4 linked regions of the Callithrix jacchus genome follow. The protein of the gene in region 2 purifies or fractionates together with the protein of the main gene of each other region. This does not show direct contact. Links are inferred from orthologs where the notes say so. Each region holds a gene or a part of one and is shown on either strand. Other genes may lie near its edges.

Region 1 (7,585 bases), on a different chromosome or scaffold from region 2:
GTTGGTTGTGACAATAATGGTCCATTTTTCTCAAGTCAAAGTAATTCACTTTCTCTGTAGTTTACCATTCTTAAAGTTTGCGACCAATGAAGCGATCCAGAGGACGGAGGCCTATGAGTACGCCCAGTCCCTGGGGGCCCAGACCTGCTCCCTGCCCACTTTCCAGGTAAGAGGTGCTACCAGCCTGCTGCAGCGCAGGCGCACAGTCTAAAAAGCTTTTGGTTACTTAGATGGTTGGATTTTTTTTTTTTTTTGAGTTGGAGTCTCTCTCTGTCGCCCAGGTTGGAATGCAATGGCACAATCTCGGCTCACTGCAACCTCCGCCTCCCGGGTTCAAGCAATTCTCCTGCCTCAGCCTCCCTGCAGGTTCACGCCACCATGCCCAGCTAATTTTTTTTTTGTTGTATTTTGGTAGAGACAGGGTTTCACCATGTTGGCCAGGATGGTCTCGATCTCTTAACCTCATGATCCACCCCCACTCAGCCTCCCAAAGTGCTGGGATTACAGGCATGAGCCACAATGCCCAGCAGATTTTTTGAATTCTTATGGAAAAAATGGTGTGATTTTTTTTTTTTGAGGGGAGGATGTTGAAAAGACATTTGATCTAGAATGCTAAGAAACTGCATCGCATTGAATTGGGTATTTCCGTTTGCATTTGATTTCAGGACTTTCATGAGCCTGTTTTGTTCGTTTGTTTTTAAGGAGACAGGATCTCAGTCCTTTGCCCAGCCTGGAGTCCGCTGGGGTGATCACTCCCAGGCTCAAGTGACTCACCTCAGCCTCCAGAGTGGCTGAGTCTACAGGCATGCAACACTGTGACCCACTAAGTTTTTTACTTTTTGTAGAAAAAAACGGTCTTGCTTAAACTCCTGGGCTCAAGCAGCCCTCCTCCCTCAGCCTCCCAAAGTGTTGGGATTACAGGTGTGAGCCACCACGCCCAGCCCATATGAGCCATTTTTAATATTTGAGGGAGGTATTCTCTGATGCACTGTGGGGGTGGTGTGTATAAAATATGTAGAGAGAGAGGCAGGACTCAGTGGCTCATGCCTATAATCCCAGCACTTTGGGAGGCCAAGGTGGGTGGATCACCTGAGCTCAGGAACCAGAGACCAGCCTGGGCAACCCAGCCAGGCGTGGCAGCATGCGCTGGTTCCCAGCTACTCAGAGGCTGAGGTGAAAGGATAGCGTGAGCCCAGGAGATTGAGGCTGCAGTGAGCTGTGATTGTGATCACTCCAGCCAGGGTGACAAAGTAAGACCCTGTCAAAAAAGAAAAAAAAATACGGGCCGGGTGCGGTGGCTCACGCCTGTAATCCCAGCACTTTGGGAGGCCGAGGTGGGTGGATCACAAGGTCGAGATCGAGACCACCCCGGTCAACATGGTGAAACCCCATCTCTACTAAAAATACAAAAAGTTAGCTGGGCATAGTGGCATATGCCTGTAATCTCAGCTACTCAGGAGGCTGAGGCAGGAGAATTGCCTGAACCCACGAGGTGGAGGTTGCGGTGAGCCGAGATTGCGCCATTGCACTCCAGCCTGGGTTACAAGAGTGAAACTCCGTCTCAAAAAAAAAAAATAGACTCAAATATCTAGAGAACGTCTGTGGAGCAGCTTGCGCTGCCTGAAAGGCGGTGGCCTCAGTGCGCACAGTTACATGAAAGGAACTAGCGGGGAGGCAGAGTGATGTTCTTACCGGCTTAGTCCTTGACTTTGCTCTTGAAATCCCTTGGGAACAGGGACTGGGACTGTGGTCAGCGGGCATGGGGGTGGGAGATGATGATGAGTGACGCGTCCAGAAGAGTCTGCAGCTCACAGGGCAATGCTTGGACGCGGGAGAGCCACGGTATAGCAGGGCTGCGTCTGTCCTTTCAGGTGTTTAAGTTCATCTACTCCTGCCGCCTGGCGGAAATGGGGCTAGCCACGCAAGCCTTCCACTACTGCGAGGCCATCGCGAAGAGCATCCTGACGCAGCCGCACCAGCACTCCCCGGTGCTCATCAGCCAGCTTGTGCAGGTGCTGCCCCTCCCATCCCCCGCAGGCAGGGAAGGAGGGCTTCCAGGGCCCCTGGGCGTCCGGGTGGTGCCCCGAGGGTTCAGACGCGCTTTGTGGTAGGCACTTGGAACCTGCCTCTTGGGTAGGTGAAGATCTTTGAATGGCTTTGTGTTTTGCCTGTTAGTCTGGGGACTGTCAGGCACCATGTGCCAGCACAGAACCTTGGCAGCAAGTTTCACCATCAGAGGAGCTGTCTGTAGGATACTCTTTTTAAGATGGAGTATCACTCTGTCGCACAGGCTGGAGTGCAGTCGTGCAATCTCAGCTCACTGCAAACTCCACCTCCCAGATTCAAGCGATTCTCCTGCCTCAGCCTCCTGAGTAGCTCGGATTACAGGCGCTCACCACCACGCTCAGCTAATTTTTTGTATTTTTAGTAGAGATGAGGTTTCACCATGTTGGCCGGGCTGGTCTTGAACTCCTGATCTCAAGTGATGCATGCATCTGCCTCGGTCTCCCAAAGTGCTGGGATTACAGGCATGACCCACCACGCCCGGCCAGGATATTCTTATTTTGAGGCAACTTAGTCTGGTGGTTGATAGCTTAAGTGTTCAGAATTCAGCAGCCTTTGTTTGAGTCCTGGCTACACCACGCAGACCTTACTTTCTCCCCCTGTAAAACGGAGGCGGCGTGACTGGCAGAGAGTGTGGGAGGCGCCATACTCTCTACTTCTCTTCAGTAGTTGCGTTTGTAAGAATGTGCTCATGGGATACCCAAAAAAACTTATTAAGGACATTTTTAGACCCATTTCAAAGTTGAGAGAATTATTCATGCATCCTTAGGTCCTTACCCCCACATCAGTGTTTAAAACACAAGGCCACACTTGTGTTCTGCCCCCACCCGCACCCTGCTCTGCATTCCCCAGATTCCCGATGAAAGCACACAGATGCTCTCAGGTGAGTCCAGCTTTTTCGGAGTCAGTTCCACATGGTCACGTTGCAGCCTTGGGCCTGGCCTGTCCCAGTGCATGTGGGCGGACAGGTCATCTACAGCAACTTCCCACAGTTGCCCAGCATCCAATGTGCTGGGTGTGTCATTAAGCACATGCTGGAAACGTGTGCAGCTAACTAAACTTCATCTGCACTGTAACACTGCAGGTGCATTGCCCCCAGAGTTGGGGCGTTTTGAAGACGGCTCACTTGCCATCACCTGGTGGTGACAAGGGCCTCTGATTTCTGCCCGTGTCTAGATGGCTTCCCAGTTACGACTCTTTGATCCCCAGCTGAGAGAGAAGCCAGAAGAGGAGTCCTTGACCTCACCTGCCTGGCTGGTTCACCTGCAGCAGGTGGAGCGGCAGATCAAGGTACAGCCTTGGTTCAGAGTGGCACAGAGGTGTTTGGCAAGGTGGTTTCTGTCCCTGTCATTTTCACACTGACGGTACCTATTTAAAGACAGCGAAACTATAGATGTGTGCCTACTAGAGTTCCCTAATTCCCCAGAAAAGGCGTATGTGCCCCCTATTGTCCTGAGTTGGGGACACAGCAGTGTGGTGGTGGTGGGCAGGTGCCGGCTGCAGTGCCATAGGCTACTTGCATAGGTGGGCTTTGTTCTCCCTCAGGAGGGGGCCATGGTGTGGCCTCAGGACGGAGCCTTCCCACAGCAGTGTCCTGGCACGCCAAGCTCCGAGGTGGAGCAGTTGGAGGGGCCAGGAGTCAGTCAGCCGGTGGCCCTGGGGATCGCCAACCCACTGCTGGCAGTGCCTGCACCGAGCCCTGAGCACTCGAGCCCAAGCGTGCTGCTGCTGCCCTCAGGTAAGCCCGGGCTTTCTGCTGGCTCACCCCACTTCGTCCTCAGATGCCATTACCACTCCCTGGTTGATTGCTCTCCTTAGCACTTTCTCTTCTCACTCAGTTTATCTGTCCCCATCCCCATGGGAACCCAGTATTTTTGTTCTTGACACATCCAGGGCCCAGCATAGTACTGACAGGCAGCAGCCCTCCCTGGTTTTATGTCAAGTTAGAGGAATGAATGAATGAGTGGCCTGTTTTGACCCCTGGCCATGGAGGAGAGGACTCAAATGGAGCATAGCTTTGGGCCAGGTGGCCACTGTAGGCTTGCATCTAGGCCGGGCTGTGCCCTGGAGCCTGCGTGGTGCTCAGTGACTACACAGGCGTTCATCCTGCCCCACTCCTAGAAAGGAAGCAAATGTTCCGCTTTTTTCCAAACCACTGATGGTTCAGATGGGATGGTGGCTTCAGGTCCTTTGGCTTTACTGGATCTCCCTTATAAAAGCAATGTGCCTGTGCAAACTAACCTGTCCGAAATGTGTCTAGCGTCAGCTCCTTCCAGTGACCTTCTCTTCTCCACTGTTCCCATGCAGCTCCGCCAACGCTCCCTGATGGCCCATTGGCCAGTCCTGCCGGGGTGCCAATGTTCCCAGTGTCACCGCCCCTGGGGCCCCTCGAGCCGGGTCCTGGCTGTGTGACTGCAGGGTCTGCACTTGGCTTCCCAGATCCCTCCAGGCCTGATCCTGCAACTCTGGGCCTGGGGCCTGGCCTGCCATCTGGCGTGCCACCTCTCCAGGAAAGGAGACACCTGCTTCAGGAAGCCAGGAGCCCAGACCCAGGTGGGGCTGCACAGATGCTGTCTTGAGAGCAGAAGCAGTGTTGGGTATGGGGTTTGTGGGGATTGGTGGAAGAGATGGAATTTATTTGACCTTGTAACAAGTTAATTACTTGTCTTAACGAGACCAAAACTCCTGGCAGTTAGTAGACTGGACGGCTTAGGAGTCTCGCTGTGACAGCAGGGTTAGTAGTAGTTTCTTTTGTAAGTCGGCTTTTCATGATGCGAGGCTTAAATGGCTGTTCAGGGCAGGGCACGGTGGCTGTGGCTGTCCCAGGAGTTGTCTTCAGATGGTCCTTCTAAACGCCTGGTAACACGCACGGGTCAGGTTATGAACTTCTGTCTGGAAGTCAGTTTGGTAGATCTTGTCCCTGGTCTGTGTCTATATTGACAAAGCAAAACATAAGCCTACCTTTAAAGAATAAAAGTTGGCTGGGCACAGTGACTCACGCCTCTAATCTCAGCGCTTGTGAGGGGATCACCTGAGGTCAGGAGTTTGAGACCATCCTGGCCAACATGGTGAAACCTTGTCTCTAGTGAAAATACAAAAATTAGCCTGGAGTGGTGGTGCGTGCCTGTAGTCCCAGTTACTCAGGACGCTGAGGCCAGAGAATGGCTTGAACCTGGGAGGTAGAGGTTGTAGTCAGCCGAGATCGAGCCGCTGCACTCCAGCCTGGTGACAGAGCGAGGCTCCATCTCAAAAAAAGAGAAGTCACACTGTGTGGTGGTAGCCGGGTGGGAAGGCAGCGCCTCGGTCTGGGCGCCAAACACGTCCTGCCTCCTGTGTTCCCGTCCGGCAGCACTAAGGTCTGACTTGTTCTCTTTCCCGTTGACAGGGTCGGTGCCGCAGGATGTGCCTGTTGGAAACTCACTTTCGGAGCTAAGCGAAGAAAATTTTGCTGGAAAATTTGCGAATCTGGTACTTTGTCACATTTTCTTCAACTATTTGTTTTCCATAAAGTTCATCTAGTGGGCACCCAGACTCCTTGTTGAGGTGTAGGTGGGATGATGGTGGCGAGGACTGTGAAATTGTTTCTTAAAGCAAAAGTGCTTCTAAGTAGCTTTCATCCTTCAAATATGAAGAGCTGGTGAAAACACTGGTAGGGAAAGATGAGGAAGAGAGAATTCAGTAGCAGAGAAACAGTTACTTTAAGTAGGAGAAATTCCAAAATACAGTCACATCCCCTGATTAATTTTAATTCTTCTAAAATGGGCACCTTCCCTGATTCACACATCTCTTTCCTTTTTTTTTTTGAGACACAGTCTGGCTGTGTCGCCCAGCTGCCTGGAGTGCAGTGGCGTAATCTCGGCTCACTGCAACCTCTGCCTCCCCAGTTCAAACAGTTTTCCTGCCTTCGGCTCCTGAGTAGCTGGGACTACAGGCATCCGCCAGCACGCCCAGCTAATTTTTGTATTTTTAGTAGAGACTGGGGTTTCACCATGTTGGTCAGGCTGGTCTTCAACTCCTGATCTCATGATCCACCCACCCCGGCCTCCCAAAGTGCTGGCATTACAGGCGTGAGCCACTGTGCCTGGCCATCTGTTTTTCTACAGAATCTCTAATTTTTTTTTCTCACAAGAGGATGTCCTGGAATACAAAAGAATTTTTAACATTTTCACTGGTTTTCCGGAAAGTGAGATTTGTCTGATCAGATGTGTTTGGTATAAATACCTCCCCTATTTACTCTGCTCCTAACCTGGAGGGATGGTTGCTTTTATACAGACTGCATTCTGGAACCTTCTTTACAGATAGTCAGCTCTTCATGGGCCTCCCATCAGCAGGCGGTTACTGTAGCTTGAACTCGAATTAGGTGTTTTACCCTTTACAACATTATGTTCCCAGAAAAGTAAAAATGAGGGTTGAACTATTAAAAACTGGGACTGGAGCCAGGAATAAATATTTGTAAATATCACTGTATCTTTGAGAATGCCCACCACCCACCCTGGCCAGTCTTACCCTCAGTGAGTGCCCACGCTCCACTTCTTCCAGCCCCAAATCTCCAGTGAACGCCCTCATTCGGAGGTCCCCCCAGGGTGGGATCATGCTGACTCGGGTCCGACGCAGCCACCTCTGTCTCTCTCACCTGCTCCTGAAACGAAGAGACACGGACAAGCAACCAAGAAAGAGACAAAGGACACTAAGAAGGTAGTACAGCGCCCACGTGCACCTGGCGGCCGGGAGGGTCTGGGCTGGGGGCATGCTTCCCAGCGCACCATCCTCCTCATTCAACCGCAAGCTTCACCCTTCTGAATCAAACAGCCGAGCTCGTGAAGTGCACATGGCGTGGTGGGTGTCTGTGTATTGGTACCCTCAGATAGCTGCCCACCCAGGTCAGCATAGGGACACGGCCTGGCCCCCAGAGGTCCCCTCTAGGCATTGACTATCAGACACACCCGCAAGGGGCTAGACGGCAGCCACTCCTTTGTCACTGTGGCGTGTGCTTGCCACCGGCTTCCGGATCCTTTCTCCTAGTTGTGGGCGTTGGGACTGCTTTCTGTGTGGGGCTGGAACCAGTCAGGCCCCAGGAGCCTTCCTGCCTGTCTCCTGGGGAATGTGCTTGTATTTCTGAGGCGTGTGCTGGGGAGTGGAGGGCTTAGGTTGCAAGATGAGCCTATGTTCAGCTTTAGGAGACGCTGCTAAGCAGTTGTCCTACATGGCTGGACCAAGTCACACATCCTGCAGTAGAGGACAAGGTCCCCAGCCGTCCCTTGTCTTCACCAGCACTGGGCAGTGCCAGGCCTTTCAAAGCAGTTGGGCTGGGTTGATGACATCTCATTGTGTCTTACTCTGCCTCTCCCCAGCGAGGTAGGACGCTAGCACCTTCTCTGCCTGTTCCATCTCACTGCTCTTTTGAGACAGTGCTTGTTCAAGTCTCTGTCCATTTTGTTTTCCATAAAGATGGGGTCTCACTATGTTGCCCAGGCTGAACTCTAACTCCTGGGCCCGGGTGATCCTCATCTGCCTTGTAGCT
Region 2 (8,028 bases):
TGCGGTCACAGAAGTCTTCTGTGTTGATTGCTGTGGTGTGAGGGCAGAGGAAAAATTGGGTCTTTTTTTGTTTTCTGTGTGTTTTTTTTTTTTTTCAACAGACCCTCGGCTGTATTGCCCAGGCTGGAGTGTAGTGGCGTGATCTCAGCTCACTGCAACACTCTCAGGTTCAATCAATTCTTATGTCTCAGCCTCCTGAGTAGCTGGGATTATAGGCACCCACCACCACAACTGGCTAATTCTTAGTATTTTAGTAGAGATGGGGTTTCACCACGTTGCCCAGGAGGGTCTTGAACTCCTGAGCTGAGGCAATCCACCTTGCTGTGGCTCCCGAAGTGCTAGGATTACAGGCATGAGCCATTGCGCCCAGCCCATTTTTTGTTTTTATTGAGACAGGGTGTCACTTTAATGCTGGGCTGGAGTGCACAGCCATGGCTCACCACAGCCTTGACCTCCAAGCTCAGGTGATCCTCCTGCCTCAGCCTCCTAAGTAGCTTGTACTAGAGGCACATACTACCATATTAGACTAATTTTTTTGTATTTTCTGTAGAGATTGGGTTCACCCAGTCTGATCTTAAACTCCTTGGCTCAAGGGATACACCTGCCTTGACCTCCCAAAGTGGTGGGATTGCAGGTGTGAGCTGCCATGCCCAGCCATAGTTTGTTTTTTCTGCACGGTATGCTTTTGACAGTAAACAGCATTTAGAATGCATTTGGGAAGGAGCTCCATTGTTCATGTAAGAAAAGTGCTGATATAGGCATGCAGAGGCTCCGCAATGCCATTAAGTCCTGGAGCCCTTTCCAGGCCTCTCTTCTGCCTTCTGCTATATTAGCCTTCAATGTCAAGCTGCTACCTTCAGTGGCACTAGAAGCAGCAATGAGGGCTGTGTGCTTTCTTGCTCACTTCCAGAAATCCCTTCCTCCATACCTTGCCCTTTAGATATTTTCGTCTATATCCTTTGTAATACACTTTATGATAAACCAGTAAATGTTTCCTTGAGTTGCCTAGCATTCTGAGCAAGAATCCTGATTCCCACTAGCTGGCCCACTTAAGTCACATGCTTATCCCTGATCCAATGACCATGATCTAGAATAAAAGGTGTTGATTAGTATAAGTCACAATTGGGGATCATTTCAGGACCTGGAATGGAGTCAGTTTCCTTCTCAGATCCTCAAAACTCTAAGTGCTTTCAGAAGTGGGAATAGCTGGGAGAATGATGCTGGCTAGATAACCACAATGGCCATTTACACAGGTCTTCATCAAGCTAGGGATTTGGGGTTGTTAACAACGGAAACTACTAAAGAAACGTGACTGCATAGACTGGAGAGACAGGCGGTCCCCTAAAGGAAAAATAGAGTGTTTGAAGAAAGGAGAAGAATGCTGGACAATACATACTTAACAAATATCCATTGGTTATTTCATAGAAGGCCCCAAAATTAATTAAATAATTTATTTATTTATAAAATGGAGTCTCACTCTGTCACCTGACTGGAGTGCAGTGATGTGATCTCCGCTCACTGCAACCCCCTGGCGATTCTCCTGCCTTAGCCTCCCGAGTAGCTGGGACTATAGGCCTGCGCCACCACGCCCAGCTAATTTTTGTGTTTTTAGTACAGATGGGGTTTCACCATGTTGGCCAGGATAGTCTCGATCTCTTGACCTTGTGATCTGCCTGCCTCGTTCTCCCAAAGTGCTGGGATTACAGGCATGAGCCACCGCACCCAGCCAAAATGTATTTATTTAACCCAGACTTCTCCCAGGAATGTCAGGACTTTTAAGAATGACCTAGTAATGACACAAGAATAAACACACAGGCAAATGAACAAACAACAGAATAGAAAGTCTAGAAATAGACACAAGTAAATATGCTAATGTTATATATCAAGGGCAGCATTTAAATTCTGTTGGGGCAGTTTGTTTAACAAATGTTGTTGACATACTGGCTCTCCATCGGGCAGAAGTTAGACCCCAGCTCACACATGCATAAGAATAAATTCCAGTTATATTAAAGATTTAAATTTTTTTTTTTTTTTGAGACGGAGTTTCGCTGTTGTTACCCAGACTGGAGTGCAATGGCACGATCTCGGCTCACTGCAACCTCCGCCTCCTGGGTTCAAGCAATTCTCCTGCCTCAGCCTCCCGAGTAGCTGGGACTACAGGCACGCACCACCATGCCCAGCTAATTTTTTGTATTTTTAGTAGAGACGGGGTTTCACCATGTTGACCAGGATGGTCTCGATCTCTCGACCTCGTGATCCACCCTCCTCGGCCTCCCAAAATGCTGGGATTATAGGCGTGAGCCACCCCGCCCGGCCAAAGATTTAATTTTTTTTTTAATAAAAAGAAGAGGGGTGGGTGCGTTGGCTCACGCCTGTAATCCCAGCATTATGGAAAGCCGAGGCGGGTGGATCATTTGAGGACAGGAGTTCGAGATCTGATTAGCCAACACAGCGAAAACCGGTCTCTACGAAAAATATAAAAATTAGCCAGGCGTGGTGGCGGGCGCCGGTAATCCCAGCTACTCGGTCGGCTGAGGCACGAAAATCGCTTGGACCCGGGAGGCGGAGGTTGCAGTGAGCCGAGATCGCACCAAAGTACTCCAGCCTGTGCAACAGAGCAAGACTGTGTCTCAAAAAAAAGAGAAAAGTTAAAAAAAGGAAAAGAAATGAAAAAGCTAATTCACTGGGGAAACTTGGGGAAACTTTCTAAGCTGGTAGCCGAGCGTGCGACCTTCTCATTCCGCCTCTTCCATTGGGTTCCCATGACTTACGTCGCAGGATATGTAGCCAATGGGAACTAGGCATGGGTGAAGAGCTCACCAATGGGGTAGGGGCGGGAGATTTGAAAGGTCCTGGATCAGGGCGCGGCGTGACTGATTCAGTTGCTTGCGGGAGGCAGGGAGAGTAGCAGTGCCTTGGGCTCCAGGTGAGCTGGCCTCCTTTCACAGGCCTTGCGCCGGGAGTGGGCAGATGATCGGGCAGGTCGGAGGTCCACCGGGCTGGCCCGCGCGCACTCCGCAAGGCTGGAAGGAGGTAGGGACGATAGCAGGGTGGGGGAGGTGAGACCAGCGCCTGGACTGGGGCTAGTGTGCTGACCTGGTCCTTTTTACGAGCCCAGGCTAGCGCTTTCGACCCGATCGCTCCAACCCCTCCCTCTCTTTCTTTTTCTCTGCTTCTCACGGCTGTTTCCCTTCTCCGCCCAGCTCTTCTCCGCCTTTCCCTCTAAGGATGGCCCAGAAGGAGAACGCCTACCCCTGGCCCTACGGCCGGCAGACGGTAAGGCCCTTCCCTCCATCCCCGCCCCCACCTTGTCCCTGCACGGCGAGTTCCTGCTGGGAGACTTGAGATCCTGCAGTGAGCAATCCTTTAAGCACCTTCTTCCCCGTTCTGCTCCAAAGTACGGGTCCCAAGAATTTGGTGACAGAACCCAGAATGGTCATTTATAGCCACATCCTGCCAACTTTAATCTGACAAGCCAGTGACTCCCAACCGGTGAGGACCCCTGGGGCTGAGCCTGCTCATCACATACCAATGATATCTGGGACTGAGTAGGCAGGGCCTGGCCTTCACAACCCATGTGCTGAAAAAATAAACTAGGCAGCAAATAGAAAGGACTCTAAAAGGCTATAAGGTTACTGTTGAAACAGTCCAGGGCAAGTCTAAATTAATAATTTGGAATTTATTTTAATGACTAAGGTGAGGTAAGGATCTAAATGGACTTATTTCCCAATTGTCCAGACAGATTTCATTGAAGGGTCTCCCCTGATTTTTTATTATATATAAATTCCCACATAGGTGTGGGTCTATTTCTGGACTGTATTTTATTCAACTTGGTTATTTGTAGATCTATACCAATATCACTTTGGGGAACAGGTTTTTAGAGGCACTGGGACTTTCTTCTCTTGGCTGAAGAAGACAGAAGGGGCCCTGCACAGGTTTTGCTCCCTGCTTGTGGAGCTCGGGCTTCCTAAAGAGTCTGTGTCCTTGTGCATCAGCTCCCTCCCTCATGGAGCACTGAATGAGGCTGTCAGGAATGGAGTCTGGATGAGAAACCACTGTCACTTTTACCTTGGTCACTCCTAAAAGTGCATCTATTACTTTGAGAAGTTGAAAGTGAGGCTGGGCACGGTGGCTCACGCCTGTAATCCCAGCACTTTGGGAGGCTAAGGCAGGTAGATCATGAGAACAAGATATCGAGACCATCCTGGCCAACATGGTGAAACCCTGTCTCTACTAAAAGTACAAAAATTAGCTGGGCATGGTAGTGGGCACCTTGTAGTCCTAGCTACTCGGAAGGTTAAGGCGGGAGAATCGCTTGAACCTGGGAGGCGGAGGTTGCAGTGAGCTTAGATTGCACCACTGCACTCCATCCTGGGCAACAGAATGAGACTCTGTCTCAAAAAAAAAAAAAAAAAAAAAAGAAGTTGAAAGTGAGAAGTGGTCTAGGCCCATCAGAGTAGCTCTTAGTGTCCCTAAAGCCTGTTCTTGCAAAGCTGTAAATCCAGGTTGTTGCTATAACATTCAAGGCCTCAAGGATCTTATCTAAGCCTTAATAAACTAAACTTTAAGGAAACTCTGAGAATACCTCTGTGCTAACCCCCTTGAATTATAGGTGTTTATTGACCCAGCCCTCTACTATGCTGTGAGTGAGGGGCTGGATGAATGACTGTGGTGTTATGGACAGATTGGACACCTTCATGCCTGTGAAGGTGGTGTGGGCCAGGGACAAAGAGGTGAAATGTTAGCTGTTGGGGTGAGTCCTTTGCCCCTTATCTTAGGCCTACTTAGGTTTATTAATAATCCATTTTAATATGATACTACAAGCAGAGCCTGGGAAGCAAAACTGTCATGTCAGTGTTTCTATTTGAATTGGGGGTGGGCGGGTGACTGGCTTTTTAGCAGAGGGCTGAAATGCTGCTTGCAGCACATTCCACCCCGGTCATCAAACAAAGGCACCCTCAGAGCTACCCCCTGCTCCTTCTCAGACTCCATCTGGCCTGAGCACCCTGCCCCAGCGAGTCCTCCGGAAAGAGCCTGCCACCCCATCTGCACTTGTCCTCATGAGCCGCTCCAATGTCCAGCCCACAGGTAACTGGGACAAGGGGGAGAGGACTGACTTGGGGAGATGAGAGTCTATGGGAGGGTGTAGGGAGGAGAATGTCATCCCTGTTCTCATTCAACTTACCTGTTCTCTCCTTAGCTGCCCCTGGCCAGAAGGTGGTGGAGAATAGCAGCGGGACACCCAACGTCTTAACGTAAGTGCCCCAAGCCTTGGGGTGGACAGGGATGAGGGGGGCAGTGAACATGCAGGAAGTCGGGGAGGTAAAATCTAAGGGCAGGAGGAGTAGGAATGAAGAAAAATGGGGCTGAGGACAGGATGGGATGAGGAAGCAGGGAAAAAGCAAACATCTTAGATAACCAAAACTGGTTCTGAGCTGCCTTCCCCCACTTTCTAAGCAGGCGGTCCTTCACAATTGATGACTTTGAGATTGGGCGTCCTCTGGGCAAAGGCAAGTTTGGAAACGTGTACTTGGCTCGGGAGAAGAAAAGCCATTTCATCGTGGCACTCAAGGTCCTCTTCAAGTCCCAGATAGAGAAGGAGGGTGTGGAGCATCAGCTGCGCAGAGAGATCGAAATCCAGGCCCACCTGCAGTATGGCTTGATGCCCCCTGAGCCAAAGCCCCTCTGCTCCCTCACCCCCAGATTCAGCCCCACCTCATCCAGATTGCTCTCTCTGTAACTATGGCCAGTGAGCCCCATGTAGCTCTTAGTCCTGGTCAGAGCCTTGAATCCAGAAATCTGCCTCCAGTTTCCCCTTATCACTTCCAGCCCTGGTGTCCCTGGCCACATCTGACCCTAGTTTTCTCCTATCATCTTTCCCAGCTCTTTTATGCCTTTGGCCTGAGGCCTCCTCATTTCTTCCCCCAGGCATCCCAACATCCTGCGGCTGTACAACTACTTTTATGACCGGAGGAGGATCTACTTGATTCTAGAGTATGCTCCCCGTGGGGAGCTCTACAAGGAGTTGCAGAAGAACCGCACATTTGATGAGCAGCGAACAGCCACGGTCCGGGAGCGTGGGCACCTAGGGCGCCGGTAGGGGCTTGTGCTGCTTGTAGCTGGAGGTCCATCTTTGTCTGACTGCCTGTCATTGGCCCTTCCAGATCATGGAGGAGTTGGCAGATGCTCTAATGTACTGCCATGGGAAGAAGGTGATTCACAGAGACATAAAGCCAGAGAATCTGCTCTTAGGGCTCAAGGGAGAGCTGAAGATTGCTGACTTCGGCTGGTCTGTGCACGCACCCTCCCTGAGGTATGGTGGCCTGGGAGGCCAGAGGTGTGAGGCTGGGCCATTAAAACCTCTCCAGGAACAAGTTTCACGTTAGCTCAGTTGGTTAGAGTGTGGTGCTAATAATGCCAAGGTTGCAGTTTTGGTATCTGTACAGGCCAGTGGCCAAACTTTGGCCAGGCACGGTGACTCACACCTGTAATCCCAGCACTTTGGGAGGCCAAGGTGGTTGGATCACTTGAGGCCAGAAGTTCAAGACTGGCGGACCTGCCTGGCCAACATGGCAAAACCCCCTCTCTGCTAAAAATAGACATGGTGGTACACACTTGTAATCCCAGCTGTTCAGGAGGCTGGCACATGAGAATCGCTTGAACCCGGGAGGTAGAGGTTGCAGTGAGTCAAGATCGCCCCACTGCACTCCAGCCTGGACTTTGTCTCAAAAAAGCCCAGGAGCAGCAGCCTTTTTTTCTTCCATACCTTTTTTTTCATGGTTTCATAGTATCACATGGTAGAGATACAACCTGATTTATTTAAGCAGAACATGCCTGATGGGCATTAGAGATGTCTCCAATTATTTCTTTAACTCCAAAATGAACATTGCCCACACATTGGATTATCTTTTTTTTTTTTTTGAGATGGAGTCAAAAACACAAAACCAGAAAGATATGGAGTCTTGCTCTGTCATCCAGGCTGGAGTGCAGTGGCACAATCTTGGCTCACTGCAATCTCCGCCTCCCCAGTAGCTGAGACTACAGGCATGTGTCAACACATCCGGCTAACTTTTTTTGTATTTTTAGTAGAGAGTTTCACTGTGTTAGCCAGGATGGTCTCCATCTCCTGACCTCCTGATCCGCCCACGTTGGCCTCCCAAAGTGTAGGGATTACAGGCATGAGCCACTGTGCCTGGCCTTAGATTATGTTAAGATATATCCGACAGTGTAGAATTGCTGGGGCTATGTGCAGGCTTAACTCTGGGGCTTCGGGATATATCATCATCCCACCCCCACCCCAGTAACCCTGCCTGGCTGGACCTCTCCCGTGGTACATCCTGTGGTCTTTTGGCTCCCTGCTGTCAGGCAGCAGGGAAAGGAGAGATTGTATGTCACTGGGACCCCTGCCCACACCGCTTATCCCTCCCAGGAGGAAGACAATGTGTGGTACCCTGGACTACCTGCCCCCTGAGATGATTGAGGGGCGCACGCACAACGAGAAGGTGGATCTGTGGTGCATTGGAGTACTTTGCTACGAGCTGCTGGTGGGGAACCCACCCTTTGAAAGTGCATCACACAATGAGACCTATCGGCGCATCGTCAAGGTGGGAGGGTGGCCTGGGCTTCATGCCAGATGCAGAGGCCAGGGGCTGGGGGGCTGAGGGTGTGTGGGCAGAGTGTATTTGCATGGCCCTAAGTAACTCCAAACAGAATGGGTAGTCAAGGAAGATGTAGCCAGGATGAAACTAATGCAGCCCTTCCATCTCTTCATATCTGCAGGTGGACCTAAAGTTTCCCGCTTCAGTGCCCACGGGAGCCCAGGACCTCATCTCCAAGTTGCTCAGGCATAACCCCTCAGAACGGCTGCCCCTGGCCCAGGTCTCAGCCCACCCTTGGGTCCAGGCCAACTCTCGGAGGGTGCTGCCTCCCTCTGCCCTTCAATCTGTCGCCTGATGGTCCTTGTCATTCACTCGGGTGTGTCTATGTTTGTATGTCTGTGTATGTACAGGGGAAAGAAGGGGCCCTGAC
Region 3 (8,137 bases), on a different chromosome or scaffold from region 2:
GAGGCGGAGGTTGCGGTGAGCCGAGATTGCGCCATTGCACTCCAGCCTGGATAACAAGAGCGAAACTCCGTCTCAAAAAAAAAAAAATATGAAAGTCCTTTCTTTCACAAAGATTTATCTTTATATATGATAAAAAGTAACTACTAAGCTAGTCATTAAAGACTGCCAAAATAGTCATAAACTAAAACTAGCATGTTAATAGGATCTAAGAACCCTAATTCACACTCTACTGAGGAAATCTGGGTGCTCTGCAATGCTTAGCAACAATGCAGAATTTCTACTCCTATGCATATAAGCCAATATTAGGAACTTCCTCAATTGGGGAATTCATCCATTAAAGAATTACCAAGTTTTTATTTGGTGCCAGATGCTGTACTAAGCACTAGGGATAAAGCAATTTACAAAAGAACTAAAATCTTTGCCCTGATGAGGGTAGTCTTCTGGTGGGGGTAAATAGACAATAAACAAGAAAAATATGTAAATTATATACTGTATTTCAATAAATCTACAATGCATGTTTTCCCCCCATTTTCTGCCTGAAATTCAGATCTTTTGGCAAGTTTTTTTTTTTCTTTATCTAGGGTACACTTAATAGCACAGCAGATCTCATGAAATATGGGAACATAGTGTGTATGGGAGAATAATATATCAGACTGATTAAGTGCTACAGAGGAAAATAAGCAGACCAGAGAAAAAAGGAGTATGAGGAGGTTGCAACTTAGACTATTCAGGAAAGATCTATTAACATTTAAGCAAACTTAAAGACAGTGAAGAGTGACCCTTACGTCTATGTGGATGAAGTAGCAAGCATTCCAAATACAGGAAAGAACAATTGCAAAGGGCATAAGGAGGGGAGAAGGTCTCAGAAACATCAAGGAAGCCAGGTGATGTGGCTGGAGAGGAGTGAATCAGATGGAATGTGGCACAGGAGATGATATAAGGGCCAGATTATATATGGACCTGACAGGCCACCTTTCTACTTAGTGCATGATCATTGTCTTGCGTCTAGAAAAGTAGGATAAGGTACTACATAAGAACGCAGGCTTTGGAGCCAGATTATCCTCTATGACATTGGTCAAGTTACCCTCTTAACCTGTTTTCCCATCTGCAAAATAGGGCTAATAACCTACCCACCTCATAGGGTTGTTGTGAGAATTAAGCAAATTATTTTCTATAAAGAACTCTGAACAGAGCCTGGCCAATAAAGAGCACTATGTGTCTGATACGGTTATTGATTAGTCATGGCTTTTCAGTGCTGCTTCCTATAGATTGAAATCATCAATTTATTTTGCTACATGTTGTTTGGTTAATGCATAATACCTAATTATATCAACAATGTTTGTAGATTTTTCTAGCAACTAGTCTTTTTTTTTTTATTTTGAGACAGGGTCTCATTCTATGATCCCAGCTGGAATGCAGTGACACAATCATGGTTCACTGCAGCCTTGATCTCCCAGGCTCAAGAGGTCTTCCCACAGCCTCCCAAGTAAGTGGGACTACAGGCTGGGACTGCAGGCATGTGCCACCATGCTCAGCTAATATTTTATTTTTTGTAGAGATGGGGTTTTGCCACATTGCCCAGGCTGGTCTCAAACTCCTGAGCTTAAGTGATCCTCCCACCTTGGCTTCCCAAAGTGCTGGGATTACAGGCATGAGCCACGTCTTTAAAAACCTACTTATGATACTGAAGGGACTTATAATGTAGCAAAATAATAAATAAATAAAAACCTATATATATTTCAAATACAAATGATCATTGCTATATATCCTCCTAAGCAGGCATTGACAGTATTCCACCTCACTACTACCCCAAGTAAAAAAACAATCTTATGCAATTAGATTTCATTGCTTTTGCTGAGTTTTCCACTAGAAAGTAAGAAACGATAGGAAAAAAAGAAAGCAATTTTAAAAATGGATTTCAAACCAATGAATCTTGTTCACTGATCTATTGTCAGGTTTGGCTTAGAAAAAGAAGAATCATTCGTTTTCTTTTTGATTATATGTATTTTAATGATTCACGGCACTCTTATCCTGAATGCTTAGATTTATGAAAGCCAGAAATGTAACCATGCAAGTCAGGGGGTCACAATTTGTTCATGATTTCTCTTCCTTTATTAAGTCAGGTAGTTCCTGAACATCTACCATGTTAAAAAAAATTATACTAGATGATTAAAGGGTGCAAACAGGAATATAACACAGTCCCCGACTTTTCTCTACAAATCATAGAAGTGGATTAATATGTAACTCTCTTCTTCTGAAATAAGGAGTCCATTTCATGGTTGTTCTGTAGGGACAATACCTTGGGGATCTCACCTTCAGCGCATCGGCACCCAACTGTCTATCCCTCCTGTTCAGGGGCTGCTGTTGGGGAAGAAAACAAGTCAAATGCAGGGAAAACTCATAGTAAGCTGTTACTACTATACTCATTAAAGTATAGTAACCAACTTTCCTCACTGAAGTGTAGTAACCTACTGTACCCACCAAAGTTTAAAACAAAACAGGGCCAGGCACAGTGGCTGACATTTGTAATCCCAGCACTTTAGGAGGCCAAGGTGGGCGGATCACCTGAGGTCGGCAGATCGAGAACAGCTTGACCAACATGGAGAAACACCGTCTCTACTAAAAATACAAAAAAAATTAGCCGGGCATGGTGGTGCATGCCTATAAACCCAGCTACTCAGGAGACTGAGGCAGGAGAATTGCTTGAACCCAGGAGGCGGAGGTTGCAGTGAGCCGAGATCACACCATTGCACTCCAACTTGGGCAACAAGGGCAAAACTCCGTCTCAAAACAAAACAAAACAAGGCATTTGATAGGGCTGGTGCCTTTAAACAACTTTGCTAAAATGTCAAGGCACTCTTTTTAATTACTAAATAAGGGGAGTAACAGACAGCTGTGGCCCACTCCATCTGTGAGCCTCATTCCTGATGATGGGGTAGAGTGAGGTTTAGGGATGGGTGAGGCTTAGGGGCTTGAGTGAAGTTCTTTAGAGCATTTCTTGGTAATAAAAATGCTGAGTATTTACTGGTTACCTTTTTTAGGCTGCAACAAAATGCTCCCATGGAAAATGACTACAGTAAAATGTCAAGTGTATATAGTTTTCAAGCAGAGGACAATGCTTAGTGCACAGTATTTTTGGCAGTATGACCCCACCATTCTCCAAGTTGCACAGGCTTAAAATGTTGGCACTAGGAAACACATTGCCTATGATGTGTTCCCTACAATTCCACTTTACAGATTAAAAAAAGGGAACCTCCTCCTTAGCATAATTTTCATATATTCTTTCAATGATTTATTCATTTATCCATCAATATCACCTTTTATGAGACAGTGGTAAGCAACAGAGATATAAAATGAATAAACATAGTCCTGCCCTTAACAGTTTGGTTTAACAAGCGTTTATTGAATGTCCACCATATATAGTATTAATAACTGCAAAGTGCTAGCATATAGATATATACTTAGATTTTAGGGAAAGCTTTCAAGAATGATGCCAAAGTTGAGTCTTAAGGAATTAGCAGGAGTTTGCTTGATGAAGAGAAGGGAGGGGAAGGGCGTATCCACGTCTGAGAAAAATGTCCAGAGTATGTGGGGGAGGCAGAAGCTGAAAAAGTAGTCAGAAGCCAATCACAATAGGCCTGTATGACAAACTAAGGAGTTTGGACTTTATTTTAGAGAGAAAGGGGAAACAACTGAAGGATTTTTAAAAGACTGACATAAACAGATGTTTTGTTGTTGTTAGTCTCTCCCAAGGGAGGACTGGAGATTGGACTTTCTGAAGGAAGCCAGGGCTGAATGCAGACAAACTAGTTAGGAGGCTGTTGCTGTAATCTCAACGAGAAATGATGAGAACATAATCTATATCATAGGCATAGAGAATGGAGAGCAGAGGACCTATCTGAGAAATAGTCATTTATATAAAAATGATAGGACGTGACTATTGATTGGACATGCGTGGGTGGAAAGCCAGAGTCTAAGATTCTTCCCAGCCTCCTCTGTCTAGCTTAGGCACTTATTTGGACAGTGGTACTACTGAGCACGGCATGCACACAGTAGAAGCAGCGTATTGACTTTTTTTCTTTAAGGGAGGCAGGGGAAGATGAGTTCAATTTTAAAGGCTGAATCTGAGACCTGAGGGGAATCCAAGAGGAGAGGTGCATGAGTCAGTAAACTAACTAGACCCTGTGCTTTTTAGCCTCAAGAAATTTACAAGATTATTCCAGAAGCATGTGTACTGACAACCTCACTGCCGGAGAAACAGGCATATCAATTTGAGAAAATGACATTTTTTTCAGGTTAAAAAAAAACACTGAAAACGCAGGGGTTAATAGTTAATAACAAAACATTATGTTACTCGCCAAACTGACACAGCAGAACAATGTATTTCTCTAGTAAGCTAAATGTAGAGTTTGGTGGGTTTCCTTCTGACGACACTTGAAAATTGAGGTGTACCTGGTGTTTAGATCTAGGAATTCCTTTGAGCAGGTTTGAAGAGCAAGAGCTGAGAAATGCGCCCTCCAGTGGCAGTGGAATGAGGGGCGTCTAGTACCCTTTTTACCACCAAACAAAGCCCTGTAAAGAAATGCAATTTACCGGGATAAGAAAGCCACAACGCTGGTACTACTAAACCGTCAAACCAAACGAACCCTCCCAGGGGCCGGAACCCCTTACCTGTCACGTCGGCCGAAGGAAAATTTCACTTTCGACTCAAAAAGAATAAGACCTCAGATTTGATAGCTTGCAGTAAGTCCCGCTCGGGAGCAATTAAACACCCTGCGTGCAAGTTGAAACGCGTAACCAAATCCTCTCCACCCTGCAGGGCCGGGCTTCGACCACGTGGGTGGCTGCGGCCAGCGGGAACAATCCGCGAAGGGCGGGGGTAGAAGCGAGTCCTGAGGAGGGAGGCAGGGCCTACGCAGTGGGCGGGGCTCCGGCGGAACGTAGCTACGAGGTTTCTCTCGCCTCCGCTCCCCTTTTGCCTTCAACCTTCGAGCCGCCACGTAATGCCACGTCCCCGCGCATGCGCATCTTGGCCGCTGCTGGCGGCTGTTTCCGGGCTTAAGGGGCTAGATCGGCCGCCGAGTTGGAGGCGGTGGTGGATGCGGTAGGAGAGTGTGGAGTGCGGAATTGGGGGTCAGGCCCTGCGGAAGGCGGGGAAGTTGTCTTCGTTTCTTTCCCGGAGGGGCCGATAAACCAGGTGGCTGAAAGGCAAGATGAATTTCCTCCGTGGGGTAATGGGGGGTCAGAGTGCCGGACCCCAGCACACAGAAGCGGAGACGGTGAGAGGAGCGGCGGGTCTGGGACTTGGGAAGGGGTCCGGGCAGGGACAGGGAGGGAGCACTCGGAGACCCGAAGGTCACCTCCCGCGTTCCACCATGGAAGGGAGATCCACAAGCCGCCTCCACCTTTGCCCTCCTTCCGCTCTTGAAATCCCAGAGTTACTTCCTCAAGCCCCCATCGTAGTCCCCATCACTGCGGCTTGGCCGGACTGACGGCAGCCGCGCCCCACAAGCTGCGTAGGCCCCGAAGCTTGGGCTAGGAGAGTGGTCCGCGGGTGGTACCTCCCGGGAAGGGACGGATCGGGACAGTGCTGGCGCGAACTGCCTCCCACGCCCCTCGGGGCTGTGGGCCCGTCCCTCCTTCCCTTTCGCCTGTGTCTGCACTGGCCGAGACGAGCCTGAAGTCCTGCTCCCTCCCTCGCAGTCTGAAACTGGGGCGTTGGAGAAGATTGCATGGTTTAAAACCCAGCTGTTGGTGAGAGCATGTGGCTAAGAATAAAACGATATTCTTTGGGGCACAAATCCACCTGCTCCTGTCCCATCAGAACGCCTGGTGTCATTTGTTCCGATCCCGTTTTTTCGAGCTGACCCAAATATATATCATTTGGCAAATGCTACCTTGGACGTAGTAGGGATATTTCCCGCTCAAACTGCTTTAGGGACACATTCACCGCTTTCTGCCTGAACTCGTAAGGACATTATTTGCAGCGTTATTTTTTTTTTAATGGTTAGCCGCTGAAAACAGTATTGAATAGTTGCTTAGATTCTAGGTTTAGAATATACTTATTTTGAACTTTGGTTATTGTTTAATGGAATCGAAGGTGTACGACTTTTTGAAGTAAACTTTTTATTTGAGAATCATTTTAGATATACATAAAAGTGACCAAGTATAACATTTTAATGGCTAACTTTGGGTAGTATTTATGTACATAACTTTGTTCATGGGATCCTGAGGAATAATATAGTAGCTTTCATTTACCTTGTACTCGGTACTGTGTTGAGCTCTTTATATTCCACACTCTACTTTAATCGTTAACTGCCCTGCAGGATAGGTGACAGTATTCTCACTTTGAAAGTCAAAAAAATGAGGCTTAGAGAGGTGAAGTAACTTGACCCATGTCACACTGCTAGTAATAGAGCCAAGATTCAACCAAGAAGTACCTTGAAAGGCTAGACTCTATTGCTCATGCCTGTGTTTCAATACTTTTTGAGAACTTATAATATTAAAATTAATTGCAGGTGGTCACAGTGACACAGGTCTATAATCCTGGCTACTGGGGATGCTAAGCCAAGGCGGATCGCTTGAGCCCAGGAGTTTGAGACTAGCCTGGGCAACATGAAAAGATTCCATCTTAAAAAAAATATTGCACAGATCTGGTTACAATTGTTTAAAGCATAAGATGAAAGTTGGTAAATCAGTTTCCTTCATTTGAAAATCACTTTTCTGTCTCTCTGTCACATACACACAGGCACACATTTGGCTTCACTCATCCATTCCCACTTGGCAACAAGTCAGCCTGAGCTATCCTACTAGAAGACCATGTTCTGTCTGGGTTACCATAGTCATGCCATAATCACAGCCCACCACTTACTTTGTCTGATATTTGTGTTTGTGACACCAGGTTATGAAATATGGTTTATTACAGCTTACGTTGTGGAGTTAGACCTTGATTTCAATCCTGGCTTTCCACCCTGATTGGATTGGATATGTGAGAGATAGCTGATACCCTGTAAGTAAAATAAGGAAAATGCCTGCTTTTCAGGATGTAATGAAGATTAAGTGAAATAAATAGAAAGAGCCTGGTACTTAGTAGATGTATAACGAGGGGTAATTTTTACTCTGTGTAGGTTGAACGAAGAATACCCATTCCTGTTTTTGTTATTATTGCCCTTATCACGGTGACTTCTGTAGAAAAGATGGAATAGAATTCACAGTATATAGGGTTTTATCGCTAGACGGTCCCAGATAGAGCCTCTTCATTTTATAGGCACCGAGCACTAAAGCAGCTTGCACAATGTTGAAAAGTTGGAGCTAGAACATTTTGATCTTGCCATTGTGGGTGGAATAGCATAGTTTTTATATCACAATTTGAAATGAAGCTTGAGTATCACTTGTGTATGTTGCATATATTAACTTAAAGTGAGGGTACTTTCTTGTTCTGGCCTAACTTTGAGTATGTACATTCAAAATTGGAAAAATAATTTGTCTTCTATTTTTTTTCTTTTTAATCACCTCCCCAGTAAAGTAATTTGTATTCTGAAGATAATTACTCTAGGTGCAATATGAATAAAACTTCTTTCACAATTTCATTCCGTCAGGAAGTAAGACAGGCATAAGGGGTCATGGATTACTAATTTAAAAGTATTTATAGAGCATCAGTGGAATACAGTACAGTATTAGATGTTTTAATTGGTGATTTAGTCTGGCCAGGATATTTGAGTTACCAGAGCTTTGAACCTCTAGCTTCTATATTATCATTTATTATTTTGTAGTTTTTTTCCATTTCTGCAAAATTAATTTTTTTTCATTGTGTCTTTCCACTTTTCTTGCTTTTTCTAACATCCTTTTCCAATGGAAGGCCTTTTTTCTTCATCTGAATTTGACCTGTTATTTAAATTCATCATCAGTGCCTTCCCTAGTCTGTACTTTACCCCACCACATTTCACATACTCTTTCCCTTCTGAGCTATCTTTACATTTTAACTACAGTGTGCATATATCTTATTCCTTCCAGACTCTTAAAGTGTCTTTAGAGCAGGGTTCATACGTATTTTAATCTTTGTTTTTCCACAGTAGTAGATGCCCAGTAAATATTTGTGAAATGAATTAATTATAGTTTTATTTAAAAGGAATCACAG
Region 4 (7,585 bases), on a different chromosome or scaffold from region 2:
CTTGATTCACAAAGGCCAATGAAGTGGACTGCATGGTGCTGGTGGGAGATGTGAAGGATTAGGTGGCCACCCTTGTGGATGACATGGCTGACACTTATGGAACAATCTGCCGTGCAGCTGACAAACTTCTCTCAGCTGGAGCCACCAGTTTATACTATCTTGACTCATGGAATCTTCTCTGGTCCGGCTATTTCTCGCATCAACAGTGCGTGCTTTAAAGCAGTAGTAGTCACCAATACCATACCCCAGGAGGACAAGATGAAGCACTGCTCCAATATACAGGTGATTGACATCTTTATGATCCTTGCAGAAGCCATCAAGAAAACTCACAATGAAGAATCCATTTCTTACCTATTCAGTCATGTCCCTTTATAATAGAGTAACTTCTGAGGCTTTTTAAGAATAAAATCCTCCCCACCTCTTGTTTTCCCCTGGTATTGGAAGACAAATAACAGCAGAAGACCCAGCTTGTTCCAGTGTAGCTTTCTACATCCCATATCAGGTATAAATTAGCTTATCCAAAATGGGAAAAGACAGATTGAGATTAACTGCTGGGACTTCCTACCTGCATTGTCTCATCCTGGCTTCCTTCATGATTTTGTGAACCCTTCAGCTTTAACTACAACTCAGCTGTTGCAAGATTTCAGACTTTTGAGGATGTTGTGTGGGGGTGTGATTGGAGAAGCTCAGACCACTTTGCACGTGAATGCTTCAGGGTTTTCCTTATCAGGAACAACCAGCAACAAAGCCAACCCATATGTGACCAGGTCTCCCCAAGGTCTATGCTAAATTACAGCAAAAGGCCTGGGCAACCCCAAACCTAGTCCCAGTGGCTGAGCACCCTGTAAGGCAGGAGCAGGCAGCTTGGCTTGAGCAGCCATGGAATAGGGAGGTGACTGAGGTGGGAGGCAGCACAGCGAAGCAAATGTTTCTTGGGAGGAAGAAGCCTGATCTGCTTGACTATGTGGCTTGGATTCTCTTTTGTACCTATTACCTTTATCCATCTTGATCCTTTCCTGGCCAAATATCCTCTTGGGCCTAAATGAACACTGTACCACAGTCTTCCGGAAAGCAAATGTGCTTCCTGATATGTAATTGCTAACATTCACATTAGATGATTTGCTGTAGCTTAATCTTCCTTAGCCTATTGCCACTGCAACAGTAGGTTTTAGGTAATACGGTAGTACCTTTTGATCAATTTAAGTATTTAATTTTCATCTTCCTTCTTTGGATCTATTTGGCCTTTCAAATGAACTAATATTTCTGTTAAAAAAAAGACTGATGTAGGCCAGGCACGGGGCTCACGCTTGTAATCCCAGCACTTTGGGAGTCCAAGGCAGGTGGATAACCTGAAGTCAGGAGTTCAAGACCAGCCTGGGCAACAGGGTGAAACCCTATCTCTACTAAAAATACAAATCTTAGCTGGGCATGGTGGCACATGCCTGGGGTCCCAGATACCTGGGAGGCTGAGGCAGAACTGCTTGAACCTGGGAGGCAGAGGTTCCAGTGAGCCAAGATCACACCATCGCACTCCAGCCTGGGTAACAGAGCAAAACTCCATCTCAAAAATAGAAAAGGAACATTTATTTTATATGTTATTACCAAGTGGATGCCGGAGTAGGTGTTTTCACTGTGAGATCTTATTTAACCACTAAAGAAAGACATACATTAATACTTAAACTAGAACTTTAATATCCATAGCCACCATATTTTGAGTAAAGTAGACTACAAGTTTGTTATCTAGGGCCACCATAGTTCTCTATGCATCCCATTAGCAATCCACAAATTACTTTTCCAAAAATGTTGGCTTTACCTCATTTGTGACCTTTGCTCCAAAAAGCCAACCCGCTCCTCGGGGACTGATAGCCCAAGTATCCACATCTTCAGGATCAGACCAAACCAGATCACAAAATGCTCCTTTATGAGGAATTTCCTGATTCCGTTCGATGGTTCGAATTTGATCCAGTGTTTTGATATCCGGAGATAAACCACCATGGACACACAAAATCTGCTCATCTATTAACTAGCAAAAAAAGATAACAGAGTTGAACATATAACCTAAGGCATATCTAAATGCATCGATGAATACTAAAGATATCAATATAACTGAGATGACAACTAGATAAAAATATGCAATGTGTTATTGGCAGAAACATAGATGAGGCTTCAAAAATAGAAACTTACAGCTGCTACAGTGAGCATGTCAAAAACTTTGGTACAGTATCTCCAGGCATTAGCATTTCCATATTTGGTTTGGCACTCATCTGTGAAAGAAACAGAAGAGATTTAATTAATGAATCTGCCAATAAAAATAAACAATATATCCAATACTACAGCAGCCTTCAGTACAACAGAAATTCAGCTTAAACTAGGATAACAAGTTATGACACATATTTAGTCCTGGCAGGACCTCCACATAGAGCCGAAAGAACACTAGTGACTAACTATATATAGTTATATGTCCCTTAACCATGGGGATACATTCTGAAAAATGCTTTGTTAGGTGACTGCATCGCCGTGTGAACATCATAGCATGTCCTTACATAAACTTAGATGGCTAGCCTACTACACACCTAGGCAATATCATATAGCCTATTGCTCCTACGCTATAAACTTGTGCAGCATGTAATTGTACTAAATAACATAAGGAAACAGTAACATAATAAGTATTTGTGCAATAGGAATTTTTCAGCTCTGTTATATCTTATAGGACCACTGACGTATATGCAGCCCATCATCAACTGAAATGTCATTATGTGGCACATGACTATATTTCCTAAGGTTTTAGTACTGCTCTTCATTCCTGGAATGGACAAAGACGCAGCTGAAATTATTAACCAAAATGCTATAATCAGAAGAGCTAAATACTAATTTCACACAACCTGAAGCAAATGTTTGACAGTTATGTTAATATTAGGCAATTCTGGTAAACAAACAAATTTATTAAAGGAGACTGTTCTAGCAGGATAATCAAATCAAATGAATTAGAGGACCCTTAGTTATAGGAGCATGAGCAATTTCTAACTCAACCTTCTCAGGAGTAAGTTGTCTCTTCTGAGATTTTCTGCAAATTGTACAACTAAACACTTGAGCTTCAGTAGATCAAACACTTGAGCTTCTGCAGGCTAAGGACAGATTGCCAATCAGGCTCTTATAAATTCTCAGTTAAACATCCTTCTGCTGCCTACATAGTTTTTTTGTTTTTGAGACAAGGTCTCACTCTGTCGCCCAAGTTGGAATACAGTAGCGCAATCAGCAGTGGTGTGATGACAGCTCACTGCAACCTCAACCACCTGGGCTCAAGCGATTCTACCACCTCAGCTTCCCGAACAGCTAGAACTACAGGCATGTGCCACCACACCTGGATAATTTTATTCCCAGTAGAGATAGGAGTCTCCCTATGTTGTCCAGGCTGGTCCTGAACTCCTGAGCTCAAGCAATCCTCCCACCTCAGCCTCCCAAAGTGCTGAGATTACAGATGTGAACCACTGTACCCTAATTGTCTACATAGTTAATAGGGTACACACTTCTGTTAACGCCATGGAAGCTCTGCACTTTGGCTTCTTCTGAAAATTTTAGGGAAAAAAAACCCAAAAACTGACATACCACTATTGCCTTTAAGCACAGATGAAAATGCTATTGGAAAGAAGTCTGCAGGTTATGGCCAATCTTCAAGATTTTCTCAATTATATCTCTATGTGAAGCAAGATTCTTATGTGAATTTGCCATAAGAGAGCCCCAACAATGAGCTCAGGTTGCAGGCAGTGATCTTAAAATTGGTTTAATAGTAACTGCCCAGTATGTGTTTATCAGTGTGAACTGAAGGCCCACTGTAAAGTCATATAGAGATATTTGACTCCTCAAAATCAATATAAGTCCTATAACTAAAATTATCTTCTTCCTGAGGAGTTAAGTTTCATTTTATTAAACAAAACCATAAAAACTCACTACATGAACAGAGCTTTGGGAACAAGAAAGTTCAATACTAGATTTTGTGTTGCTGTCTTTTTCCTCAGTGAAGGCACCTTGATTAAAATGTCCTCCTTCCTCTCCCCAGTTTTTCTCCTTTTGCCCTACACTGACAAATGCTGGATGAATTCTGGGGTACAATTATATACATAAAAAGTCATATATAAAAACATGTCATATATTAGTCATATATAACAGTATGTACTTTATATATTATACATGTAGCATTAGTTATGTGTGTGTGTGTGTGTGTGTGTTTTTGTAACATTAGTTTTAGCATTGTTTTCACTGAGCTAACATCATAGTATGTCACCCAACATACTATTTTGCAAAATAATCCAGAAGTTTTATTTCAAATGGTGTTTATTTTGTGAATGAAAATAAAAAGTAACTTGTAGAAAGGAAACAAATATTAATTATTTAACTTTACAATTATTAAGTTATATGAAAACAATAAAATTTAAAAATTTATCTAATTGATAATGGCAGACAAACTGAAGTGTAAGAGAGTTCAGCCTATCTTGTTTTGTTGTATTGTGTTGTGTTTTGAGACGGAGTCTCACTCTGTCACCCAGGCTAGAGTGCAATGGCACAATATCAGCAAACTGCAACCTCCACCTTCTGGTTCAAGCAATTCTCCTGCCTCAGCCTCCCAAGTAGCTGGGACTACAGGCAAGCGCTACCATGCCCAGCTAATTTTTGTATTTTTAATAGAGACAAGGTTTTACCATGTTGGCCAGGATGGTCTTGATCTCCTGCCATCGTGATCCGCCTGCCTCGGCTTCCCAAAGTGCTGGGATTACAGGGGTGAGCCACTGAGCCCAGCCCAGCCTATCTTTACAATGACAGAAGATAATTCAAAATATAAAATTTAAAACTAAAGGGTTCTGAAATTAATGTTTCCAAATCTCTCAATATCTGCCTGAATTGTGCTCAAGGAAAATCCAAATTCATAATCTTAACAGTTATACTTCCTTCAAGGGGCTTCCTAATATGCTCTCTCTCTCTTTTTAACTTTCTTTCTTTTTTTTTTTTTTTTGAGACAGAGTTTCGCTGTTGTTACCCAGACTGGAGTGCAATGGCACAATCTCGGCTCACTGCAACCTCCGCCTCCTGGGTTCAAGCAATTCTCCTGCCTCAGCCTCCCAAGTAGCTGGAACTACAGGTGCGCACCACCATGCCCAGCTAATTTTTGTATTTTTAGTAGAGAAGAGGTTTCACCTTGTTGACCAGGATGGTCTCGATCTCTTAACCTTGTGATCCACCAGCCTCGGCCTCCCAAAGTGATGGGATTATAGGTGTGAGCCACCGTGCCCAGCCTCTTTTTAACTTTTAACCAAACAAAAGTTTTAAGAGAAGCAGCTATTTTGCTTTTTATGACTAAATTCTGCTTCTGATCCCCGAGGACCTAGCATTCTCTGGAGTGAGCACACAGAGATATATGTAAAAGGATGTATAACAACAACTTAAAAACAACTCTAATGTCCCATGACAGAGGACAGACTGATACATCAATTATGGTACATCCATATGGTATATGATGCAGCCATAAAAATAACATTAATGAGGTGAAAAAATCAGGTATGACCCCATTTTAGTGTGTGTATGTTTGTATATATATAAACACACATAAATACATACACACACAAAAAAAAAATAAATGAGAATGGACTCTCAAATTTGTGCAGAACATTCACCTTCGGCAGATTCTAGATTCCTACTCCAAAATATTTCGATTAGTAAATCTTTGGTTAGGCCCAGCAATCTACTTTTTTTTTTTTTTTTTTTTTTTGAGGCGGAGTTTCGCTCTGTCACCAGGCTAGAGTGCGGCGGCACGACCCCGACTCACTGCAATCTCTATCTCCCAATTCAAGTGATTCTCCTGCTTCAGCCTTCCGAGCGGCTGGGATTACAGGCACGCACCACCACACCCAGCTAATTTTTGTATTTTTAGAAAAGATGGGGTTTCACCCCGTTGGCCAGGATGGTCTCAATTTCCTGGTCTCATGATTCACCCACCTCAGTCTCCCAAAGTGCTGGGATTACAGGCGTGGGCCACCACGCCCAGCCACAATCTACATTTTTAATGAGAACCCAGGTGATTCCAACAAGGTAAACCAAGGACTATACTTTGAGGCACAGATCTAGAAAGATGCACAACAAAAAGTTGACAGCGGTCTTCTCTTCAGCATAAGATTTTCAATTAGTTGGGAGTAGAGGAGTAAAGGAGTGAGGACATGTGGAAAATAATACACAAAAAGCACGTGTATGGCGTGTAGCTTTGTTTTCCAAAGAGGAAAGTAAAATAATATTCAGAATCAGAAAAATAGAAGGTCTTACCATAAAATCCATACACCTGTGTTATCTGTCTACTCTCATGATTTCCTCGCAAAAGTGTAATACGATCAGGCCATTTAGCCTTTAATGCAAGAAGGTAAGTGAAGGTCTCCAAACTATAGTAACCTCTGTCTACAAAATCACCCTGTAAAGTAAAAGTTTACAGTTACAAACAATATAACGGCCACAATATTCTTTTCAAATTATATCAAACTGCACAAATTCATAGACTGAGCCCAGAATAACTACAATAGTTACATACTGAATCATTTGAAAATCTGATTTTAACAAAAAATTAAAATAGAAGTAAACAAACTGTTTCTACTAAATGTTCATAGAAACAAGATTTTTTATTCCAGGGAAACCTATAATAATCTGCCGTGCCATTGTCTCAAGAATGTTCCCTGATAAAAACACCATTTTTTCAATCCTCTATTACCTACAATCGTTAATCTGGTCATCTGTGAACCAGTATTTTTTAAGTAATTTAATTTTTAAAAATTCAATCTTTTTTTTTTTTTTCTTAAGAGACGGGGTCTTACTATGTTGCCCAGGTTGATCTAGAACTCCTGAGCTTAAACGATCAATCCTCTCACCTCCGCCTCCCAAGTAGCTGGGACTACAAGTGTGTACCGTTGTGTCCAGCTAAAATAATTTTCTATTTTAAGGATCATTTTAACTGTATCAGAAGAGCTGCCTACTTGAAGAAAAAAAAATTTTGTTTTGTAAAAGCAAATACCATAATTATGATAGCGTTCTAGGTTCACTTTTGCATTTAACAACCATATATGATAATATATTATTTACACTTCCCACTTGGGTCAATATTACAGCAATAAGAAAACACCTGAAAGAATAGATAAGTGGCCGGGCGCAGTGGCTCACGCCTGTAATCCCAGCACTTTGTGAGGCCAAGGCAGGCAGATCATGAGGTCAAGAGATAGAGACCATCCTGGCCAACATGGTGAAACCCCGTCTCAAATAAAATACAAAAATTAGCTGGGTGTGGTGGCACCAGCTACTTGGGAGGCTGAGGCAGGAGAATTACTTGAACCTGTGAGGCAGAGGTTGCAGTGAGCTGAGATCACGCCACTGCACCCCAGCCTGGCAACAGAGCAAGACTCCCTCTCAAAAAAAAAAAAAGGAAAGTGACCCAGAAACTTTCAGAAGGAAAGATGAGAGAAGGATCCAGAAAAAATTCAACAGTAACATTACATTCCAAAAGAAAAGCAAACAAATACGTTAATAGCAAATGTGTATGTGTGTATATTTATCCATC

The links.
Region 1: the proteins of AURKB (region 2) and SEC16A purify together in Homo sapiens (affinity purification with mass spectrometry; 3 studies listed by BioGRID and IntAct, with this or other methods). This does not show direct contact. The link is inferred for Callithrix jacchus from reciprocal best matches to the Homo sapiens genes AURKB and SEC16A.
Region 3: the proteins of AURKB (region 2) and G3BP2 purify together in Homo sapiens (affinity purification with mass spectrometry; 3 studies listed by BioGRID and IntAct, with this or other methods). This does not show direct contact. The link is inferred for Callithrix jacchus from reciprocal best matches to the Homo sapiens genes AURKB and G3BP2.
Region 4: the proteins of AURKB (region 2) and PPP6C purify together in Homo sapiens (affinity purification with mass spectrometry, with the first as the bait; 3 studies listed by BioGRID). This does not show direct contact. The link is inferred for Callithrix jacchus from reciprocal best matches to the Homo sapiens genes AURKB and PPP6C.

Annotation. Positions count from the first base shown.
Region 1 is NC_133502.1:184,921,601-184,929,185, reverse strand, and holds part of SEC16A (protein transport protein Sec16A), read left to right. Parts: intron 1-60; coding exon 61-166; intron 167-1,871; coding exon 1,872-2,012; intron 2,013-3,240; coding exon 3,241-3,354; intron 3,355-3,609; coding exon 3,610-3,802; intron 3,803-4,371; coding exon 4,372-4,617; intron 4,618-5,449; coding exon 5,450-5,532; intron 5,533-6,603; coding exon 6,604-6,759; intron 6,760-7,585. UniProt on the Homo sapiens protein: Acts as a molecular scaffold that plays a key role in the organization of the endoplasmic reticulum exit sites (ERES), also known as transitional endoplasmic reticulum (tER).
Region 2 is NC_133506.1:74,672,853-74,680,880, reverse strand, and holds the start of AURKB (aurora kinase B), read left to right. Parts: upstream 1-2,880; 5' UTR 2,881-3,033; intron 3,034-3,203; 5' UTR 3,204-3,228; coding exon 3,229-3,276; intron 3,277-4,985; coding exon 4,986-5,088; intron 5,089-5,200; coding exon 5,201-5,255; intron 5,256-5,460; coding exon 5,461-5,652; intron 5,653-5,928; coding exon 5,929-6,067; intron 6,068-6,164; coding exon 6,165-6,313; intron 6,314-7,429; coding exon 7,430-7,604; intron 7,605-7,779; coding exon 7,780-7,953; 3' UTR 7,954-8,028. UniProt on the Homo sapiens protein: Serine/threonine-protein kinase component of the chromosomal passenger complex (CPC), a complex that acts as a key regulator of mitosis.
Region 3 is NC_133504.1:122,415,748-122,423,884, reverse strand, and holds the start of G3BP2 (ras GTPase-activating protein-binding protein 2), read right to left. Parts: upstream 4,811-8,137; 5' UTR 4,672-4,810; intron 4,573-4,671; exon of another isoform or gene 4,453-4,572; intron 2,362-4,452; exon of another isoform or gene 2,359-2,361; 5' UTR 2,300-2,358; intron 1-2,299. Other genes in the region: USO1 (general vesicular transport factor p115), read left to right, coding at 5,214-5,279.
Region 4 is NC_133502.1:173,750,572-173,758,156, forward strand, and holds part of PPP6C (serine/threonine-protein phosphatase 6 catalytic subunit), read right to left. Parts: intron 6,452-7,585; coding exon 6,310-6,451; intron 2,265-6,309; coding exon 2,185-2,264; intron 2,024-2,184; coding exon 1,814-2,023; intron 1,562-1,813; coding exon of another isoform or gene 1,364-1,561; exon of another isoform or gene 1-1,363.